Chlamydomonas reinhardtii: one gene and its partner. Each later gene encodes a partner of the first gene's protein in a complex. Links are inferred from orthologs where the notes say so. Each region holds a gene or a part of one and is shown in the gene's direction. Other genes may lie near its edges.

Region 1 (6,965 bases):
AACTGCCGTGTGGTATATCGTGGTGCGGTGTGGCGGTGTGTGGTGTTGGAGGAGCACAAGGAGGCAGCAGGTCTGACTGATGTGTATTGGTGTGCCGAAGCCCGTATTTGTGTGTGTATGTGCGCGTTTCACTGCGGTGGCACATGAAATGTGCGCGCCACCCAGCAACGCGACCAGCAACGAGTCGGTCTGCATGTGCCTGTGCGTGCTCCCACCTCTCCCACTGCCCCCGCTGCTCCCACTGCCCCCTCACCAAGGTCGTTGGCGATGTCGGCGAACAGCCGCCACTGCTTGGCGCACGCGTCAAAGCTGGAGCCCTGGGCGGCAGCGGCAGGGGAGCGGCAGGGGCAGGGGAACGGGGGTCAACTTTATGATGATGCGGGGGCAGGGAGTGGGGGAAGCGGCCGGGGGGCGTGGCCGTAGAACCCCCCGCTTAGGACAGAAAAGTACAAGCAGTTCATAAATCCGTCCTTCGTCCTTCTGCCCTCTAAGCCACGCATACACTTGCAGTATGCCAGCCCTTTCCCCTGTTCCTTTCCTAGCAGGCTCGCACCTCGGCGTATGCGAACAGGATGCCCCCCGCCATGCCGGCCATGTCGCGCAAAAAGAACGTGAACACGGCGGCCAGCGGACTGGAGGCCTGTGCAGATGGTTGTGTGTGGGGGGGGAGGAGGGGGGGGAGGAGGGGTTGGGCAGGGGTTGAGGGAAATGAGAGGGGGCGTCAAGGTACTTGTGCGGGGGGATATGAGAGGTGGATGTAGTGTGGGAGTCGGTGGAGCTGAGGCGTACAGGGCGGGTGGAGGCGGCAGTGCAGGCAGGGGTGCAGGCGGGGGCGGAAGGGCACACGGAGCATTGCTGCCCTGCTGCCTGACCCCCCCCCTTGCCGCGCCGCCTGCCCAATTGCAGCCATAGCCCGGCCCCCTTGCTGCGCTAGTCCTAAACGCAGCACGCACAGCCCTTGCCACCGCCGTAGCCCCACCCAGCCCCACCGCACTGCCTAGCGCCTCCGCCCCACCACACCACACACCACACCACACACCACCTCCGGCCCTGCCTCGCACCTGCTGCCCCACGCCCACGCCCCGCAGTATGGCGGCGCTGGTCAGCATGCCGCGCACGTACGAGCTGAGGGCTTGCGCCGTGTCCCAGGCCTGGAAGCCTGGGGGGCCGCATGGGGAGGGGAGGGCGGTGGGGTGGGAGGGGACAGCAGTGGGAGGGAGGGGAGAGCGGTGGGGTGGGAGGGAGAGCAGTGGGAGGGAGGGGAGAGCAGTGGGGGGCAATGGGAGAGCAGTGGGGGGCAATGAGAGAGCAGGGGGAGGGTGCAGGCGGCTGGCGCGGGTGGTGTAGTGGCGTGTCGTGTCGTGGCGGCTGAGGCACCTCACATGGGTGCCTGGGAGCGGTGCGTGAGGGCACGTGTAGCGGGGGGTGGATGTACCAGTGTAGCAGGATAGTCGGCAAAAGACATATCTAGATGCCCCAGGGCGCCGTCCGCGTCCGGGTTATATACTTTTGTGACGTAGAACTTCTGTGTTCCGTCCACAACCAGCCTCAAAATTAAGTCAAACCCATTGCACAAGAGCGAGGAGCGCGTGGGGGACATGTGGGGACACGTGTGTGGGAGTACGGCAGTGGGCAGCACGTCACATGCCTGCAGGTGCGTGTGCTGCACCGCCCTGCCTGACGACTGCACTCCTGGCGCATGAACGGAACACGCGCCGCGGCGTGCCGCCGCCGTGCGAGAACGGGTGTGTTGCAGGCTCCCAACCCGCTCCCTCCTAGTCCCCACCCTCGCCCGCTCCCCCGCCACCCCATCCCCGTCACTCACTCAGGTAGTCGGGTGACACGGACTCGGGGAATCCCTCCGGCAGGAACGCGGCCCGCAACACCGACAGCACCCCCCAGCCCCGTTGAGCGCCTCGCGCCCCGGCCGCCGCACTGGCGCCGGCGCCCGCGCCGCTGCGCTCCTGCCGTGCTCCGGTCGGGCTGTCGCCGTCGCCGAGCAGCACCACGCTTCCGGCGACGTGGCCGCGATGATACTCTAGCAGCTCGATGCGGGACGGCTCCGAATCGGCTGCGTGGGTGGTTGAGGCAGCAGCGGCAGCAGTGCGTGCTGCGGGAAGGGCACTGCCCGCTTCAGCAGCTTGCCTCGGCGCCATGTCGGCTGCGGCGCTAAGCTGCAGTTACTATGCTGCTGGTGTATGAGGCCACCGCGGCGATATTATGGCCCGGCCCGGGTTTGGCGCGACATGCCCCGTCGTGCACTCGCCTTTCTGGAGCTTATTCGTCAGGACATATGTTTGATTCGAATGTTGTGAGGTCTTTTATGATGGGCAATTGCCATATCGGCGATTGATTTGCCGGCGAGGGTCAGCTGCAACATGGAAAACCAGACGTGCATGCAAGTCCTGTGCCTTGCACGTTGCATTTCGCAGTTCCTTATGATAACAATACTATTGCACATTTGTAAGCATCAACAGGACTAGCCAAACACGACGAGTTGTGAGAACCGGACCTTTCTTTTTGGCGGGCCTGGGCTGGCGTAGCTAAGCCATAAAGATGGAGGGCCTGGTGGCTCAGGTAGTGGCGCTTTCGAACCCCAATGACATCAACCAGCTACTCACCACGCTGAAGTCTTCCGAGGCGGTGTTTACCCAGAACTACCAGCACATTGCGGCTGCCCTTCAAACTCTGGACCCCGTGCAGCATTCCCTGGGCTTTGGGTATTTCCTGTGAGTGTCGCGCGCGCAGATCTTCAGCGCATGGCGTGCCTTGGGGCCCCTGCGTTATCGTGGCAAGCGGCAAAATGCTGACTGTCATATCTGGCTCGCAGGTACTACCTGGGGAAAGGCAACTTGCAGGCCCCCGATGTTGCCTTCATCGACAACGCGGCTCGCTTCTTCACCCTTTGTGACCCGGCTCAGATTCAGGCGGCGCCAGACGTCTGTGAGTGGACAGCGCCGGGGCAGAGGGGAGCGCGGCAGCGGGCAGGGGGCAGGGCGGGACCGGCGCGGGGAGGCGGTCGATAAGGCACGCCCCGCAGCCTAGGGTTTCGTGGCACGCAGGCAGGCACCGGAACCAGCTACTCCTGTCGCTCCCACGGCACTGCTTACAATGCCACTGCTCCTGCACCTGCACCTGCTACTACCGCACCTGCTACTGCCGCTCACACTACCGCTGCTGCTGCTGCCACCCGGGTCCGCAGTCTGCGCGGTTGCCAAGAAGCTGAAGGAGCATGTGCTGGCTGCGGGATCGCCGCGGCGGGGCATTCTGCCGCTGCGTTGCGGTCTGCGCGCGCTGCAGCCGGCGCCCGAGGTGCTCACGCCGCTTCACGCCGACTTCTTCCAGCTGTGAGTGGCGGCGGTGGGGGGGTGAGGAGAGGGAGGAGGAGAGGGGGAGGCGGAGGAGGGGGAGCGGAGGAGGGGGAGGCGGAGGAGGGGGAGGAGGAGGAGGGGGAGGAGGAGGAGGGGAGGCGGAGGAGGGGGAGGAGGAGGAGGGGGAGGAGGAGGGGGAGGAGGAGGAGGGGGAGGAGGAGGAGGGGGAGCGGAGAGGGGGAGGCGGAGGAGGGGGAGGCGGAGGAGGGGGAGCGGAGGAGGGGGAGCGGGGGGGGGGAGGAGGGGGGGCGGAGGCAGGAGGATGGGGGAAGAAGGAGGAGGAGGAAGAGGAGCAGGAGGAGGAAGAAGAGGAGGAGCAGGAGGAGGAGGGGGGGCTACGGCAGGAGGAGCAGGAGGAGGTGGTGGAGGACGAGGAGGGGAGGGGTGAAGGTGCGGGTGCCGGTGCTGTTGCGGGTGGTCTTCGGGGACGGTCTGGGAGCACGTAGTCTGAAGGGGTGGGGTTCTCCACCACTCCCACCAAGCCAGAACGGAGGAGCAGGAGGAGGGGGCAGTTTGGAGCGGGAAAGCACGACCCACGGCGCGTCAGTAGTCTTAGTTTGGGTTGGTAACTGCCACCCTTCCCCCGGTGCCCTCATGTTTCTCCCCACCCTCCCGCGGACATCGGTAACAACGCGTCTGCTATGCTGCTGTTCCTGGCTACGCCTTCACTTCTAAAACGCTTATGAATGTAACCTCCCCTCCCCATCGGTAACAACGACTACGTGTACCTTTGTACCTGGCTACAACTTCACTCCGTAAACTAAATGCATGTAACCCTTCCCCTCCCCCTCTGCGCAGCTGCCTGTTGTCGCGCTGCTACAACGCGGCGGCGGAGGTGCTGGGCCAGGACATCTACGACGTGTCGCCCGCCGCCACCACCTGCACCCCCACCGACCTGTTCCTGTACTGCTACTACGGCGGCATGCTGGCCATTGGTGAGGGCAGGGCAGCCCCGGGAGGGGAGGGGAGGAGGAGGGGAGGAGGAGGAGAATCCAGGGGGGGAGGGGGAGGCACGACGACGACGAGGAGGAGGAGGAGGAGGAGGAGGAGGAGGAGGAGGAAGAGGAGGAGCCCGGCAGACGAGCAGCAGCACCACCACAACCCACTGCTGCAACTGCAAGTGCAGCCGCTGCTACTATTGCTGCTGCCCACCGCGCAACACTCCCCTGCTGCCCGCGCCACCACAGGCCGCAAGCAGCACGCTCGCGCCCTGGAGCTGCTGCTGCAGGCGCTGACGGCCCCGGCGGTGGTGGGCAATGCCATCGTGGCGGCGGCCTACAAGAAGTACGTGTGCGTGTGCCTCATACACGCAGGTGAGGGCAGATGAGGAGAGGAAAGGAGGGGATTGGAGGCGGTTGAATGAGGAGAGCGGGGAGTGGGGAGCGGTGGAGGGGAGGAGGGTTTGCTGGACACAGACGGACAAGAAAGGGTAGGCAGGGCACGCTGTAGGGCACACGTGCGCCAGTAAGTGTATGTATGGACACACTGCCGCAGGCCTGCCATGCGCACAAGCCGCCCAGCCTCACTCCACATGCCCACGCATGCATTCCACTCAGTTGCCCGCGCCTCACTCTCACTCACACACACACACACACACACACACACACACACACACACACACACACACACACACACACACACACACACACACACAGGCCAGCTGCTGCCGCTGCCCAAGTTCACGTCCAGCTGTGTTCGGCACATGGTGGAGGCCGAGGCGCGGCCCTACGCCGACCTCGCCGCCGCCGCCGCCGCCCGACAGCCGGAGCGGCTCAGGCGCGTAGCGGACCAGCACGCGGCGGTGTTCGCGGCGGTGGGTGCGGCGCTGGGGAGGGGGGGTTACACGCATAAAGGTTACGCAGTGAACTCGTAGCCAGGTACAAAGGTACACAGTAGTCATCGTTACCGACGGGGGGGCGGGGGGGGGGCTGGGGGGCCGGAGGAGGGCTGCAGGCGAGGAGGAGGGAGAGGAAGAGGCAGAGGAGGCGGAGGAGGATGGAGGAGGGTGGGACAGGCACACCCACACAGACACGCCCACACGCTCCACAAACACACACCACACTCCTTCCTCCCCACCCGCCCCCCTACCACTTCCTTAACTAATCATGAATGTAACCCCCCCCCTCAGGACGGCAACCTGGGACTGGTGAAGCAGGTGGTGGCCAGCCTGACGGTGCGCTCCGTGCAGCGCCTCACGCAGACCTTCCTCACGCTGCCGCTGGCCGACATCGCCGCCAGCGCCGGACTGGCGGGCGCAGCGGAGGCGGAGGAGCACATACTGCGGTGGGTTGCGGGGCGGCGGCGGAGGCGTGGGCGGGCGCTGTGCAGGGTGGTGGGTTTCGCGTGGGTGGGTGGATGGAGGGCGGAGGGGTTTATGCGTGGGGTGGGATCTGCGGGGAGGGTGGGGCGTGCATGAGGTAGCGCGGGGGAATAGCAGATAGTGGAGTCCGTGCACCCGCCCGGTGTCGTGCGGTGCCGGCGGGAGGTTCCGCGGCACCACCACCACCACCACCACCACCACCACCACCACCTCCTCCTCAGTCCTCAGTCCTCACCGCTGCCGCAGCAGCAGCAGCAACAGCCGCAGCTTTGCCCGCTCATCCTTGCGCGCCTGTCCGCCACTGCTCCGCTCCTCACTTCCTGACGTCCATCGGTGTGTCATGACGTGGCGTGTCGCAGGATGGTGGCGGCGGGTCAGATCCACGCCAAGATCGACGGCCGCACCGGCATGGTGAGGGGGCTGCATGGGAGGGCCGCTGCTGGCATCGTAGTGTATTGCTGCTGGTGGTGGTGCTGCGGGGGCCGCGGGGCAAGCAAAGCCGGGGTGCTGTTTGATGCGCCCACCTGTGGAACCTGTAGCCGGCCACTGGCGCGGCACCTGCACGTGACGTGGTGTGTGCGGCGCATGCTTTGCGTGACGTGGCACATGAGCTGGTTGCGGCATCATGCTTTGTGTGCTGCGCGTCTGCCGCGTGTGCGTGCAGGTGCGGTTCGCGGACGAGACGCGCTCCTCCGGGCAAGCGGGCAGCAGCTCGGCGGCGGCGGCGGGCGGGTCGTGGGACAACGTGGCGGGCGTGGCGGCGCTGGACGAGAGGCTGCGCCAGGTGCGCGGGAGGCCACCTGTGTGGTGTGTGCGTGTGCGCGTGGGTGTGCGCGTGTGAGATATTTACCACAAGAGACAAAACCAAGCCCACCCAGACGGCGCCGGAGTTACGAGTATGTGTGCTGAGTGCGTGTTGGGAGGTAGGAAGTGGCAGGGATCGCCGTGGGTGCCGGGGCATCACCGGAAGTATGTTGGTGCGAGGGTGGCGCGGCCGGGCCGCAGTGGTCGGGCCGCAGGTGTGACGGTGTGCAGGTGTGACGGTGTGACGGTGTGCGCACACACAGTCGCGCGCTATCGCCCTCTCACTTTGCTCGTCACAAAACCGCTCCCGCCACGGCACGTGCTGCTGCTGCTGCTGCTGCTGCTACTGCCGCCGCTGCAGGTGCTGGAGCTAAACAAGCGGCTGCAGCAGGCGCACGACATGGTGAGCAGGCAGCTGCGGCAAAGGCAGTGCCGTGCTGTGCCGTGCGGCGCAGCGATGGCCTCGACGG
Region 2 (7,009 bases), about 3.1 Mb from region 1:
GCTTCTGCGTAGTCCCAAACTCAGCCGCTCGCCCACCAGCGCTGTGCCCGCTTCGCCGCTAGCTCGCCAGCCGCTCCGCCTCTCAAACACCACCTGCCGCCGCACCAAAGCTCCTCCACCACAGCCACCGCACCCGCCACACCGACTGCCGCTGCTGCCGCTGCTGCTGTTGCTGACATCGCCGCCGCCGCCAGCCGCTTAGGGCGCGCGCACAGGGCCCACGGGCGACACGGGCGCCTCCATGAAGGACGCGCCCTCGCGGAAGTAGTTGACGGCGCACGCCTGCTCGCCGTTGGCGCCCACGGGCACCACGTCCACCTGTTTGTGCGTGCACGTGCGCGCGGGCAGGCGGGCGGGCAAGGTTGCGGTTAAAATTGCGCGGCCCATCTGGCATATGGTAATACGGCTATGCGTGTGCGTCTGTATCTGTTTGCTGTTATGGCACCGGCTCGGCGCATGGTTTGAAGCTTTTGCTGCCTTCAAGTCCCTGTCGTGCGAAGGCCCTGTCCACGTCATCACCACCTCATGTGGCTCCCACGCAACCCGGCGGCCGCGGCCCTGCTTGTGGCCCGAACCCCAACCCCAATGGCCACGGCCATGCAGCCCCACTGTTCATCCAGCTCTCGTGCCTCGACCTGCACATCCCTCCCCCTGAATCCCCAGGGCCGCCGCGCCGCCTGCTCCCCCGCCGCGCGCGCTGACCTGGATGCGGGCGCGGCCCTTCACCAGCTCCGAGCCGTCCGCGGACAGCTTGTACTCGAAGATGCGCGGGTGCTTGAGCACCAGGTCGGGAATGCCCGAGTCTGCAGGAGCACAGCAAAGGACAGGCAGCAAACCCGGGCTTGGTTGGTGCCGGGTGGGAGTGCGTACAGCTGTTCTGAGTGGCAAGCCGCATGGCTCCGTGACGGCCAGGCCACCCCCGGGCGGACGTGCAGGATGCTGCTGAGGCAGCATCGGGCTACGTTGGTGTAAAGCTGTGGTGTGCTCGCCACTGATGCCGCCGTGAACACGGGCGCCTGCCCTGCCGGTTCGGTCGCCTGGTCGCCCTGTTCGGTCGCCTAGTCATTCCCACCCACGCCCGTCGGTGGTGAGCTGTCTGCTGCGCAACCCTGGGCTCCTGCAGCCCCAGCTTGGGGCGTGTGCCCTGGCCAGGACCGCTGCATTGCCCGCCGCACTGGCGCTGGCCCGTCCGCGGCCGTGTGCCGTGCACGTGCAACCTCCAAAACCCTAACCCCGTTCGGCCGAGCGCCCGACCCCAGCTGCACACCCCAGCCCCCTGGCTGGCCTCACCCGGCACGCCTCTCCGCTTCAGGTAGTCCACCACCGACTTCAGGCGGGTCTCCGGGTTCAGGCCCAGCAGCACAACGCTGATGGACGCCATGTTGCAAATCTCATCCTGCTTCAGGCCCACACTGGTCAGGTAGTCAACCTGCGTACCCCGACCAAGACGCGTTAGCAACACTTCTTCCAGCGAGACGCGTCCATAGCGTCGCGAGGGGTCAACATTCACTCACCACGCCCTTGGCGCGCTCCTCGGTGGTGCGCAGCATCCCCTTCATAGTGCGGTCCACAATCTGCTCAATCCAAGGCTTCTCCCAGCCTGCATGCAGATGGATGTTAGCACGTCGCGCTATTACGCTAAAACAGAAGCGCGAAAAACCTACCGAGCGCAAAGAGCATCCGCTGCACCTTCTCGATAGAGGAGGGCAGCTTGTAGGGATCCTTCTCAGACCATGGCAGCGGCAGCTCGCCAGGGGTAGTCTTGGTGATCACGGTCTTAGTGTCGGGGCTTTGCTGGGTCACCCGCACAACGATGCTCGCCCTGCGCCGCACGAGCGATGGCCACGTCAATACCGCCAGCAATGCAATAAATCGGCTGAAACTTAAGCTGATGCAGTGACGTGGCCGCGGTGATCAGGGCGGGGCTGCGACAACGCCTGGTTTGCCCGCCGCACCTCTGCGACTGCACCGGCTGGGGCTTCGCAAATAGCTTCGACTGCGTGCGGGAAGAGCACGCCACACCTAGGCCTTGCCGGCCAACCAGCATAGCGGACATACTTGCGTTCTGGCCCTAGGTAACTCCGCTTGAGGCTTAAGATGTCGCGTGGTACGTTTCCCTCAGATCTATGAATTGTGCCGTGTGCCAAGTACGCCTAATTAAACATAAATGCGTGCGTCACAGTCAAGCACGGTCGGGAGAGCGCTCGTAGAGCGAGGGGGGCCTGCACTCATCATGCGGTCGGCACGCGAGGACCCTACGCCATTCCGCGTGCACAGCTTCATACTGAAGAGTTTGACTTTAACATAAACATTTATGCCCGCGCCAATAGAATTGCCCATAAGCTTGAACCGAGGGTTCTGAAGTTCAGCCAGCATTTCTCCTTTAACTACTGCAAGACTTTCATCGGATAGGTCCTCGTCCATGCTGCAGTGATAGGCAGGGGAGAGCTCCTTGGTCTCCGGAACTAGCGGGCAGATCCCGCTCCTACGTCTTTAGCTGCGCATTTTGGAGGCACTAGGCGAGGTCTGTTATCATGGACCAGGATGCTAAGATTCAGCAATATGTGCTGCTGGCGAAGGGCCTCCGCGGGCGAGGCCTGACGGACCTCATCGCTAAGGCAACCGGGGACCCCGCTGTGTTTGGCTTCGGCGAGCTGTTGGATGTGCAAAGCGTAAAGGAGGTGAGTTTCGCTGGCGATTTGCCATGGAGGGGGCATGGGCCCGCACACAAGGGCCATGGAGGGAAGGAGTGGGTGCACGGGTGGTGCCGGGTGTGGGTTTCGTGCGGCGTGTCAGGCGGGGCGAAGCTTTGTTGGACGCCGTCCCCTTCCTCAGCTGAGTCTCACAGTCGTGCGCCGCGCACATATACTGCGCAGCTGCAAGGAACCGACCTGGCGTCCCACAATGCGCTCCTACAACTCTTCGCATACGGCACGTGGTCCGACTACCAGGGTGAGACGCACGCGGGTGTGGATGGGGACTGGTGGTGCCTGCCACGGAATGGAACGGTTGCTCCGACCACCACATGTGCATGCGCTTGGCGCGTGCCAAGGCATCCGTGCGGTTGTCCATGCCCGTCTAGGCCGAAGAGGTATTATCGAGGGGTTTGAAGTGGAGCCGTGTGTCAAGCGTGCTGCGGTCAGCCGCCGTTCTGTGATGTGTACGTGCACGTCTCGCATTGTTACGCACGCGTGTCGATATCGCCTATAATGCCTCTCACACCTCCCACACCTCATAACCCACAGCCAACGCGTCCAGCCTGCCGCCGCTGAGCGAGGCGCAGGCGCTCAAGCTCAAGCAGCTGACGGTGGCGTCCCTGGCCGCGTCGGAGAAGGTGGGTGGGTGTGCGGGCAGAACTTTTCAAGGCTTGACGCATCCAGAGTACAGAGTAGGCAGCTGCTGGTCCTGTGCCTCCCCAGTCACCATCATGACTCCCGCATCTATGCCTGCCCCTGGTCGCGGGAGGGCCCACTTCCCCCTCCCTCCCCTCCTGCCGCGCCGCCCCCCCCCGCGTCTGCTATAATACTGAATTACTCTTTCTGGCTACGCCTTCACATCTTATATAGTCATGAATGTAACCCCCCCCCCGTGCAGGTGCTGCCATACAGCCAGTTGCAGTCCGCGGTGTCCATCAGCGGTGTGCGCGAGCTGGAGGACTTCCTCATCAACCACTGCTTCTACGCCGGAGTCATCACGGCCGGCAAGCTGGACCAGAAGCAGGCCTGCCTGCAGGTGGGCGCGTTGGGGCGGGGCGGTTCGGGAGCGCGGGGGAGGGGACGTTTGGGGTTTGGTGGCAGAGGCGGGCGGGCGGGCGGGCTGCGGGCGACGGAAAGCGAAGCAGCGAGTCATGCAGGGCGGGGGTTAAGAGGGGCGTGGTGGCAGGGGCGGAATGACGCTTGAGTGAGGGTGGGTATGGGGAAGATGCAGCAGGGTTGGGGCGACGGGCTGGGGCGTTGGGTTGGGGCCACGGGCTGGGGCGTTGGGCGCTGAGGTGTCTGTCCTCCAGGCGGGCGGGAGGTGATAATTTGTGCGGGGCACGTGACGGCACGGCCGTGCATGCTTGGCCTGCCCGGGACCCCAGCGGACCCCTGTCCGACGTGGCCCGGGGCCGTTCGGATGCAACACCTGCTCCTGCCGTCTGACGGCCACTGCCTGCCTGCCGCCGGCCTCAGGTGCACGACGTGATCGGTCGGGACGTGCGGCGTGAGGACCTGCCGCAGATCACACAGCGCATGGCGTGCTGGTGAGTGCGTGCCACCTGGGGGGGAGGAAGGGCCACCTGGGGGGAGAATGGGGCTACGGCATTCATGGATGCGGCTGCTAGCTCTCAAGTTGGCGGGTGGGCCAGGTACAGGTGCCCGCTCATGGTATATTCCGTATCGGATATCGCTGGGGGGGAGACGAGCGGAGCAGGAGCCGTGCAGTGCACTGGGGTTCGCCGCCCAAAGCAAGTCCAGCGCGACGAAACCTGCGGCCGCTTCTGACGACAACGCTACTCGACACACTACAACACAAACCAGGACGAAACCATGTGACGTTCCTTAACGAAACATTACAGGATCGCGGCGGGTGATGAGCTGCTCCGCGCCATCGAGGCGCGGGTCAACTACGCGACCGCCACAGCCGACGCGGCGCGGCAACACCGGGAGGAGCTGGACGCGCGCATTGAGGAGGCCAAGCGCAACATCAAGGTGCGGCAGGGATGTGTGAATCTCTGCTCAAAATTCCATCGTGGCCGCTGCGTACCCAGACTTACCCAGACTGGGCTTCTGGCTTTGGAACCGACTCCCCCGCGACCGCCACTACCTGGTAGTCCTGCCTGGAACCCTCATCCCCCACCCGCCCACCCCACACCCCACCACCACCCCCCACACACAAACACACACCCCACATCCCACACCCCACCACTCACCGACACACCACAACCCCCCCACACCGCCATCCCACATTCCAACGCCTCAGGCCGAGGCGCGCGCCAACGACGCGCTGATGGACGAGGGGCTCATGATGGGCGGCTTGGACATGATGGACGAGGACCGCGTGGGCACAGCCGGACTGGGGCTGGGGCCGGGCGAGCGCGAGGAGCGCATGATGATCATGGGGCCGGGCGGCGCGCGCGGAGAGCGGGCGCCGGGGCGGCCCAAGAGGTGAGCGAGAGCGCAGCAGGGGATGTGTGTGTGTGTGGGGGGGGGCAGCAGCGCAGCAGGGAGCGCAGCAGAGGGCGCAGCAGAGAGTGCAGCAGAGAGTGCAGCAGGGGCTGGAGGCAGTGGGGCGATGGGGTGGTGGGGCGGAGTGTGACGTGGGGTCGGGGTGTTGGGGGTGCGTGGAGGCGCGAGTTCTTGTTGCCGTGAATGCTGTGGCGGCGTAAGATGCGCTTCGGGGGCTGCTGGTGTCGCTGTGCCCACAGACGGTGTTTGCCACAGACCGTACTGACCCTCGGGTTGTGTGTCCCTTCCCACAGCAGGCGGAGGTAACTGGGCAGCAGTGCTGAGGAGGCACGCAGACTCGCGAGAAGGAAGGTTGTGGGCGGCGCAGAGCGCTGCGTTGCACCCGCGCATGTGGGCGTGGGAGCTGCTGGGTGCGGCGCCTAGGCATCTGGGATGGACGGGTAGGCGCTTGCTTGGATTTGTGAGCGCCGGGGTGGCTGGTTTTGTTTATGGCTGGCCGGCTGGTTGGAACCCGGAAAGGCAGGTTGAGAGTGGCAAGCTGTTGCTGCGAGCGAGGGGGAGCGCGCAGTCACCGGTAGTGCGCAGCCTGCGGCAGTTGTTGAGTAGGCGAAGCAGGCTGAATACGCAGGAGTGAGGCAGGGGCCACAGGAGTGCAGCTTGAGACAAGGGGCTAAAGGACTGCAGGGCTGGAATGCCCCCACTACACACGTTCACGATTCTGCTCCTGAACCTGCTGGGTGTGTGCGTACCGTGGCGATTGTGTTTATTGGCACGTGTGGGTCAGGGCACACATCGCACGGTACTGGTGCCGCCATGACGGTCGCCGCACGACAGCTGCTTTAATTCCATGAATGTACGCAAACCTGGGACTAACATTTGAGCGAGCCACCTCGGCGCGTCCTGGGCGGTGGAGGGGGGGGGGCAATCCTGTCAATTGACTCAGTACCCGATCAGCCGATCTCAGTAAATCGACGCTCGGGAATCAGTCGGGATGTACCCGAGTCTGCAGCACCTCCTTGAATACCGTACATCTTCCTCTGTTCCTCAAACACGGCACGGCACGCACCCGCTTGCTATGTGTCGTCAGCTCTTTCGGCGTGTCCCGGCCCACACAGGGCAGCAATGCAAACGCCAACACACAGAAAGACGCTGATGCCATTCGACTTTCCTTATGTTCACCCTTCGGCAGCAACCGCACAGCAATACCTTGACAACCACATGCCATTATGACGGTTGCCTATATATCAACTGGCACGGCCTTCGCAGCTATTTCTGTCAGCTATTTTTGTGCCTACGCAACCCCTCTTTCACAGCTGCAGCTCCAGCGACACGGTATATGCGCCGTAGAAGACGGGTGTGGTCACTAGCGCCTGGTGGTGGGAGATAGCTGTAAGCTTTCCTTTTTGTGTCAAGGAGGTGAAGGAGCGCGAGATTGGAGGTGTCAAGTCGTTTTTGACGGGTTGTAGATCCCATCCTGTTGGCAGCCCTGGTTGCATATGGCTACGGCCCTGGCCACCTGGGGCGGCTGGATCAGGGACGCGGCAACGTGCATACGGTAACTCTGCTGCTGAACAAATAGCATGGCTTGCTTCCTATCTCGCAGTTGGCACAAGCTTGGGCTCTACAGATACCACGGTACGGCCAAGTAAGCATCACGCAGAGTACATGCACCAGGAACATGCAACAGCAACATGATAGTTGACACCAACTCCAACTTTGTGACCTCAGCCCCCTGGGCCCTCAGCTCCTCTCGTGCACAGCGCTTAATGCCTGCATGGCGCGTCTTCTTCGCCACACCGTGCCAGGCAACCACCAACACGCAACAAGCAACGTCACACACC

What was found.
Region 2: CHLRE_16g671100v5 (region 1) and CHLRE_16g651500v5 share a complex: the UniProt entries of both Arabidopsis thaliana proteins name them as parts of the CSN complex. The link is inferred for Chlamydomonas reinhardtii from reciprocal best matches to the Arabidopsis thaliana genes COP13 and FUS5.

The regions. Positions count from the first base shown.
Region 1 is NC_057019.1:4,417,427-4,424,391, forward strand, and holds the start of CHLRE_16g671100v5 (uncharacterized protein), read left to right. Parts: upstream 1-2,452; 5' UTR 2,453-2,556; coding exon 2,557-2,729; intron 2,730-2,830; coding exon 2,831-2,943; intron 2,944-3,202; coding exon 3,203-3,347; intron 3,348-4,169; coding exon 4,170-4,306; intron 4,307-4,558; coding exon 4,559-4,684; intron 4,685-5,026; coding exon 5,027-5,184; intron 5,185-5,499; coding exon 5,500-5,654; intron 5,655-6,050; coding exon 6,051-6,102; intron 6,103-6,355; coding exon 6,356-6,475; intron 6,476-6,856; coding exon 6,857-6,898; intron 6,899-6,965. Other genes in the region: CHLRE_16g671150v5 (uncharacterized protein), read right to left, coding at 254-317, 554-640, 1,062-1,159, 1,826-2,156. UniProt on the Arabidopsis thaliana protein: Component of the COP9 signalosome complex (CSN), a complex involved in various cellular and developmental processes such as photomorphogenesis and auxin and jasmonate responses.
Region 2 is NC_057019.1:1,299,783-1,306,791, reverse strand, and holds CHLRE_16g651500v5 (uncharacterized protein), read left to right. Parts: upstream 1-2,284; 5' UTR 2,285-2,534; coding exon 2,535-2,681; intron 2,682-2,876; coding exon 2,877-2,952; intron 2,953-3,245; coding exon 3,246-3,334; intron 3,335-3,594; coding exon 3,595-3,732; intron 3,733-4,172; coding exon 4,173-4,243; intron 4,244-4,558; coding exon 4,559-4,691; intron 4,692-4,962; coding exon 4,963-5,147; intron 5,148-5,461; coding exon 5,462-5,474; 3' UTR 5,475-6,041; downstream 6,042-7,009. Other genes in the region: CHLRE_16g651550v5 (uncharacterized protein), read right to left, coding at 199-318, 703-803, 1,291-1,429, 1,515-1,600, 1,665-1,822, 1,956-2,056. UniProt on the Arabidopsis thaliana protein: Component of the COP9 signalosome complex (CSN), a complex involved in various cellular and developmental processes such as photomorphogenesis and auxin and jasmonate responses.